2 linked regions of the Anolis sagrei genome follow. Each later gene encodes a partner of the first gene's protein in a complex. Links are inferred from orthologs where the notes say so. Each region holds a gene or a part of one and is shown on either strand. Other genes may lie near its edges.

The links. The genes of interacting proteins can lie anywhere in the genome.
Region 2: the proteins of GALR1 (region 1) and GAL are in contact, whole or in part, in a cryo-EM structure (PDB 7WQ3), measured with the Homo sapiens proteins. The link is inferred for Anolis sagrei from reciprocal best matches to the Homo sapiens genes GALR1 and GAL. Residues at the interface, in NP_001471.2 of Homo sapiens: Glu32, Gln92, Thr94, Val95, Tyr96, Leu98, Pro99, Thr100, His112, Gln174, Phe177, Arg180, Gln184, Phe186, Cys187, Trp188, Glu189, Gln190, Ile266, His267, Ala270, Phe275, Leu277, Ser281, Phe282, Arg285; in NP_057057.2 of Homo sapiens: Gly33, Trp34, Leu36, Asn37, Ser38, Gly40, Tyr41, Leu42, Leu43, Gly44, Pro45, Val48.

The regions. Positions count from the first base shown.
Region 1 is NC_090024.1:74,603,077-74,607,020, reverse strand, and holds the start of GALR1 (galanin receptor type 1), read right to left. Parts: upstream 2,637-3,944; 5' UTR 2,023-2,636; coding exon 1,315-2,022; intron 1-1,314. UniProt on the Homo sapiens protein: Receptor for the hormone galanin. The activity of this receptor is mediated by G proteins that inhibit adenylate cyclase activity.
Region 2 is NC_090021.1:239,137,473-239,141,072, forward strand, and holds the start of GAL (galanin peptides), read right to left. Parts: upstream 2,525-3,600; 5' UTR 2,309-2,524; intron 1,981-2,308; coding exon 1,900-1,980; intron 1-1,899. UniProt on the Homo sapiens protein: Endocrine hormone of the central and peripheral nervous systems that binds and activates the G protein-coupled receptors GALR1, GALR2, and GALR3.

The DNA.
Region 1 (3,944 bases):
ACCCTAAAGCAAAGCAGTCCTGGTAAGTACTTGGGTGAAAGACTACCAATGAATACCAGGTGCTGTAAGATATATTTCAGAAGAAAGAATTGGCAAATCCAGCTCAGATTATTTCTTGCCATGCCTACGAAATTCATGCAATTGCCATAAATCAACAGAGGACTTGAAGACACATGTGAGAAATGAATCATTTAAGTGACCCACAAACAGTGAAGATGTATATACTGTGTGAATGGAACAGAACTACACTCTTGTAACGTCAGAGTTAGATCTTGCATACATAAACCATAAAGTTTGCAATACTCTTAAAAGAACTCTTGAAAAATATAGATGGTACAAGTCAAATTTGAGCCGTTTACAGATACAATTTTAGAGTTCTCTTAAGAGTATTGCAAACTTTATTTTCAAATTCAGATAACATGCCTGTGTGTGCTTTTTTCATATTTTGTAGCTAAACCCATCCCAAAACTATCACACTTGAGATGTAAACTATCACACTTGAGATGTTTTTCACATCTAAATTTTGGTATACACAATAAAATCTTTACAATCATAAACTTCAAAGGATTCCCCCAGGCAGTAAGAAGCCAGAACTGCTAGGCAATTAAATGCAAATAAAGGTTGCCAATTGAAACATTCACACCTACCTCGAACAGACAAGAGTTCTTTCTCCCACCCTGGACATTACACAGACATATAAACCCAATTTTCCCAGTTTCCCACAGACCTCACAACTTCTGAGGATGCCTGCCATAGATGCAGGTGAAACATCAGGAGAGAATGCTTCTGGAACATGGCCACACAGCCTGGGAAACTCACAACAACCTAATGATTCCAGAATGAAAGCATTCAACAATACGTAACCTTCATGTTTTAGCTCACATTAAACATGATGTTTAATTTGAAGGAGCTGGGGGTGGTGACGGCTGACAGAGAGCTCTGGCGTGGGCTGGTCCATGAGGTCATGAAGAGTCAGAAAAAACTGAACAAATGAACAACAACAACAAAAACATGATGTGGTTATATCTGCACCAGGCAGAAGTTACTCACTCCTATCTGACACACTCCAAATTCATTGCATGCTCTATCAAAGTCCATTCAAACCTTTATGCTGCACATATGCCTCTGTGCAAAGCAAGAGAAAAAAATTAGCCACTAGTGGGATGTAACTGGGGTATGGCCAATGGCTGTGATACTCTTATCCTGTTTTAGTTTACTGTACATCACATTTCACCCTGGAGCTGCGCCTTTCCTACACAGAGATCTCATGCACTTTCATGAAGGATCCTTTGGAGTGGATTCAACTGTACTCACCTTAGCATAACAGAATGAGATGAGGAGCAGAGGCAACAGGTACCCAAAGACAAATGTGCAGATCACGTAGACTTTCTTGTGCTGAATATTAGGCCACACTTCCCAGCAGAAGGTCTGGTTAATGATGTCCTGGTGGACAATGCGTTGGTGGTGAGCCACAGGTGAAGCCATAGCGATGGAGAGTAGCCAGATGACCCCTACGCCGAACAGAGCATTGCGGGACACCCGCAGGGATGAGGAGCGCCGCGAGTGGACAATGGCCACATAGCGGTCCACCGACATTGCTGAAAGGGTGAAGATACTAACCAGCATGGAGACGGTGAAGAAATAGTGGATAAACTTACAGATGAAGGTGCCCAGCGCCCAGCTGGGGAGCAAATACACTGTGGACTGGAATGGGATGCAGAAGAGCAAGTAGGCCAAGTCGGCGATGCTCAGGTTGAGGATGAAAATGTTGGTGGTGCTCCGGACTTTGCCCGGATGGCTCCTGGCCAGCACCGTGATGACCAAGGAGTTGCCCAGCACCCCCAGGATGAAGATGAGGCCAAAGGCAACCAGCGTGACAAAGTTCTCGATGCCAATTTCCGAGAGGAAGCTGCCATTGCCCTCCTCTTGCTTCGAGGGCTGCTCAGAGGATGGCTTGGAGGCGTTGGGGTCCAGCCAGGAGAAGTCCTGGGTCCGGTTCATAGAGATCGATTCGGGGTCCATACTCTGGGTGGTGTGGGGACCAAGAAACTGTGAGGGGGAGCAGGGAGGAACTAAATAAACTTTAGTTTAAAATCAACTAAAATACAAAAATCCCCCAGCCCTTAAAAAAGACACCAGCCTACTTCTTTTCTCTCCACCACCAACCCACCTGCTAGAGTCCTCGGAGTCTGAGTATCAACTTGCTTTCCCCCTCCAGCCCCGTTTTTATGAGTAAACCCCTGGATTTAAAGGAGATGCGTCCATCCCGACCTTGGAAGGGTTCCCCCACAAGACCCAAGGTGTGTCCTATCCCGACTTCATCTTTTGCGAGTCTGGCAGGAGCCCCGTTGCCTCCTCCTTAGCAAACTTCTTTCAGGTGAGGAGGTGCGGTGTGGAGCCTGAGCCTGGGGCGACTTTTCGGGATCCCTGGATGCCGCCCATGGGTCGCACTCAGGTCCAGCGAGAAGGGGAGACCCGTCTCTCTCCCGAGGCTGGAGAAGAAGACCTCTTCTCTTCCTCCTCCTTCTTGTTGGCTTCTTAGCCCGTCGAGCAAAGCAGCCAGAGGCGGCGGAAGCAATGGTCGGGCGAGGACCTGCCGCCGAGTGTCTGCTTGGCCGGAGCTCCCGCTGCCTTTTCTTCCTCCTCCGGCCCGCCTCGCCCACGCCTCCCAGCCCCACGCTCCTCCCCCTGCCGGTCCTCACGCGCGCTCTCTCTCTCTTTCTCTTTATCTCTATTTTTCTTCCTTCTTTCCTTCCCTCTCTCTTCCTTCCTTCCTTCCTGCCCTCTTTCTTTCTTTCTTTTTCCTTCCTTCACTCTTTCTTTCCTCCTTCCCTCTTCCCTCCCTCTGTTTCTTTCCTTTATTCCCTCTTTCCTTCCTTTCCTCCCTTCTCCTCCCTTTCTTTCTTACCTTCTTTCATTCCCTCTTCCTTCCTTTCTTCCTTCCCTTCCTCCTCTTTTTTCTTCCTTCCCTTTCCTTGCTTCTTTCCCTCCTTCCCTCCCTCTCTCTTTCTTTCTTTTTCCTTCCTTCACTCTTTCTTTCCTCCTTCCCTCTTCCCTCCCTCTGTTTCTTTCCTTTCTTCCCTCTTTCCTTCCTTTCCTCCCTTCCTCTCCCTTTCTTTCTTACCTTCTTTCATTCCCTCTTCCTTCCTGACTTCCCTTCCTCCTCTTTTTTTCTTCCTTCCCCTTCCTTGCTTTCTCCCCTCCCTCTCTTTCTTTTTCCTTCCTTTCACTCTTCCTTTCGTCCTTTCCTCTTCCTTCCTTCCTTCCCTCTTTCTTTCTCCTTCTCTCTTTCTCCTTCTTCCTTCCTTCCCTCTCTCCCTCCTTCTTTCTTTTTTCTTTCTTTCTCTTTCATTCTTTCACTCTGTTTCTTCCTTGCTTCCCTCCCTCTCAGTCTCTCTTTCTTTCTTTCTTTCTTTCCTTCCCTCTTCCTTCTTTCCCTTTCTCCCTCTCTTTCTTTCTTTTCTTTCTTCCTTCACTCTTTCTTTCCTCCTCTCCCTCTTCCTTCCTTCCTTCCCTCCTTCCCTTTCTTTCTTTCTTTCTTTCCTTCCTTCTTCCTTCCCTCCCTCTCTCCCTCCCTTTGTTTCTTTTCTTTTTTTCGTTTCCTCTTTCTTTCTTTCTTCCTTCCTTCCCTCTCTCCCTTTTTTTCTTTTTCTTTTTCCTTCCCTCTTTCTTTCCTTCTTTCTTTCCCTCTCTCTCTCTCCTTCCTTCCTCCCTCCCTCCCCCTCCCTCCCTCCCTCCCTTTCTCTTTCTTTCTTTCGGAGGCCACCAAAGTCCTGTGTTTCTTTCTAACTTTCCTCTGGTAATGGAGAAAAACGCCTGGCTGCCTATCTTCCTCAAACAGACTCTCGCTGCCTCCGTGGTTCTGACTGCCTTTCTTTTCTCCTGCCTTCAGTTCCAGGGGACTAGGATTTGAAGAGTCAAGATATTCTGCGACTTCAGTATTC
Region 2 (3,600 bases), on another chromosome or scaffold:
GCCTCAAACAGACAAGACATTTGCCTCAAGCAGACAAGAGTTCTTTCTCCCACCCTGGACATTCCACAGATAGATAGATAGATAGATAGATAGATAGATAGATAGACAGATAGAGCCTAGTTTGCAACAGACCTCACAACATATTGTTGAAGGCTTTCATGGCTGGAATCACTGGGTTGTTGTGAGTTTTCCGGGCTGTATGGCCATGTTCCAGAAGCATTCTCTCCTGACATTTCGCTGCATCTATGGTAGGCACCCTCAGAGATTGTGAGGTTTAAGCTATTCAGAAGTGACATTGTTTAAGCTATTCAGAAGTGACTCTCTTGATTTCAATTGGATTGAAATCCCATTACTGTATTTCTAAAAACAAAGTGTGTTTAAAAATCAGGACTGGCCCCAACTTTCAATTACAACCTCTGAGGATGCCTGCCATAGATGTGGTTGAAATGTCAGGAAAGAATGCTTCCAAAACATGGTCATACAGCCCAGAAAGCTCACAGCAACCCAGACCTCACAACCTTTGAGGATGCCTGCCATAGATGTGGATGAAACGTCAGGAGAGAATGCTTCTGGAACATGGCCATACAGCCTGGAAAACTCATCGCAGCCCAATAATACAGTATTTCTTCAATTGTAGGATGTCACTGACTGTAAGGCGCACCCTAATTCCAGTAGCACCTTCACTTGCAATTCTAAGATGCATCTCATTTTTAGATTTTTAGATATAGAGGAGGAAATTGTGTCTTAGAATGGAAGAAAATTATAACAACCACCACAACAACATAAAACCAAACACCCATCCTATCAAATCAGGTGCTATATGCTTTATTTTATTTAGGTAAAGGTTTTCCCCTGACATTAAGTCCAGTCGTGCCCGACTCTGGGGGTTGGTGCTCATCTCCATTTCAAAGCCGAAGAGCCGGCATTGTCTGTAGACACCTCCAAAGTCATGTGGCCGGCATGACTGCAAGGAGTGCCATTACCTTCCCCCCGGAGCGGTACCTATTGATCTACTCACATTTGCAATTTTTTAAACTGCTAGGTTGGCAGAAGCTGGAGCTGACAGCGGAAGCTCATGCCACTCCCCAGATTCGAACCTGTGACCTTTTGGTCAACAAGTTTAGCAGCTCAGTGGTTTAACCCACTGAGCCACCGGGGGCTCCCTTATTTTATTTATTTCATATCAAAAGCATTGCATAAAGTAGTATAAAACCGATAAAAATAGAAGGAGCACAAGCAGCTAAATATCTTTGGACCAAAAATGGGCAAAAAAACCCGAATTGTCTATAGCCTCCAATAATTCTTCCCCTGTACATAGAATCCTAGAGTTGGAAGAGACCTCATGGGTCATCCAGTCCAACCCCCTGCCAAGAAGCAGGAAAATTGCATTCAAAGCACCCCTGACAGATGGCCATCCAGCCTGTATTTAAAAGCCTCCAAAGGAGATTCCATCTGAACATTAGGAAGAACTTCCTGACTGTGAGAGCCATTTAGCAGTGGAACTCTCTGCCCCGGAGTGTGGTGGAGGCTCCTTCTTTGGAAACTTTTAAACAGAGGCTGGATGGCCATCTGTCAGGTGTGCTTTGAATGCAATATTCCTTCTTCTTGGCAGGGGGTTGGACTGAATGGCCCAGGAGGTCTCTTCCAACTCTGTGATTCTATGATTCTAAGGAGCTTCCACCACACTCAGGGGCAGAGAGTTCCACTGCTGAACAGCTCTCACAGTCAGGAAGTTCTTCCTGATGTTCAGATAGGGCAGGACATTGTGGACAAGCATACAGGCGCGGAGATGTCTGTTCTGCTCCACGGTCGCACAAGGTGGAGGATTCTAGGTGCTGATTCAGGTGGGGGGGGGGGGGGAGAGAGAAGCAAACACCAGATTTGGAAAGGAGTACTTACAGATAAGACCAGCCCGAAAGTCTCCGAGAGGGCAAAGCAAAAGATTAAGGAGATAAACAGGAGGCTACTCCACCTCTGCATCTGAAAGGAGATCAAAATACAGTTAATGCACAGTGCCAGCTGGTTTTAGGAGAGGGTAGAGATTAAGGCAGGTGTATGGCCAAACTTGGGTCCTCCAGGTGTTTTGGACTCCAACTCCCAGAATCCCTAACAGCCTCAGGCCCCTTCCTTTTCCCCCTCAGCCGCTTAAGCGGCTGAGGGGGAAAAGGAAAGGGCCTGAGGCTGTTAGGGATTCTGGGAGTTGGAGTCCAAAACACCTGGAGGACCCAAGTTTGCCCATATGCCTGCATGAGAGTATTTCTTTTCCCCTCGCCGCCTGTGAATGCAAAGAGAGAGGAAAAGGCTGCACCTTGGAGAGCGAAGTCTGGGCTCCTCTGAGGCTGGACTCTGAGTCGAAAGAGAGAGCGATAGATAGATGGGGCGGTCTCTTCAGCGGGTCTCTCTCTGCCTCTCTCTCTCTCTGTGTGTTCACTGCATGCCTTTCAGGGCGGAGAAGTGGTATTTATGGAGCCCGGGCTGGCCTCTCCTTCCCTCCAAGGGGCGAGAGCCGCCCACGGCCTCCCAGTGGCCCAGGCAGGGCATTAGGAAGGGCAAACACACACACACACACACACACATGAAAGGAAAAGGACCGCGATTCAATTAGCGGCAGGCAAGATGTGGGCTGCAGATGGAGCAATTACCTTTCATTACGCGGGGAGGGGGGGGGGGGAGAGAGAGAGACTCCCGCCTTCCTCCTTTCCTTCTCAACTTCAGGACTTCTTCTTTGTTGTTGTTGTTGTTGTTGTTGTTGTTTTGAGAAGGAGGGAGGCACCTAGGCTTCCCTAGACTAGGCATTTTCGTCCCCTTTTTCAAACTCTTATGGTACTCCTTCGACTTCTCGCCGGCAATTTACTTTTAACAGCCTCTGAGGATGCCCACCATAGATGCAGGCAAAACGTCAGGAGAGAATGCTTCTGGAGCATGGCCCTGCAGCCCAGAATGTCAAGGCATTTTATGGTACTCCTTCGACTTCTTACTTTTCACAACCTCTGAGGATGCCCGGCATAGATGCAGGCAAAGCTTCAGGAGGGAATGCTTCTGAAGCATGGCCCTACAGCACGAAAAACACACACCAACCCAGGGCCCTTCCACACAGCCCTATATCTCAGAATGTCAAGGCCTCTCCTTATTCTGGCTCTCATGGTACTCCTTCAACCTCTTACTTTTCATAACCTCTGAGGATGCCCGGCATAGATGCAGGCAAAATGTCAGGAGAAAATGCTTCTGGAGCATGGCCCTACAGCCCAGAATGTCAAGGCCTCTTATGGTACTCCTTTGACTTCTTACTTTTCACAACCTCTGAGGATGCCCGCCATAGATGCAGGCAAAACGTCAGGAAAGAGTGCTTCTGAAGCATGACCATACAGCCCAGAAAACACACAACAACCCAGGGCCCTTCCACACAGCCCTATATCTCAGAATGTCAAGGGCTTCCCTTCTTCTGGCTCTTATGGTACATCTTCAACTTCTTACTTTTCACAACCTCTGAGGATGCCTGCCATAGATGCAGGTGAAACGTCAGGAGAGAATGCTTCTGAAGCATGGCCCTTCAGCCCAGAAAACACACAACAAACCAGGGAACAGAATGGGAAAAGGAAC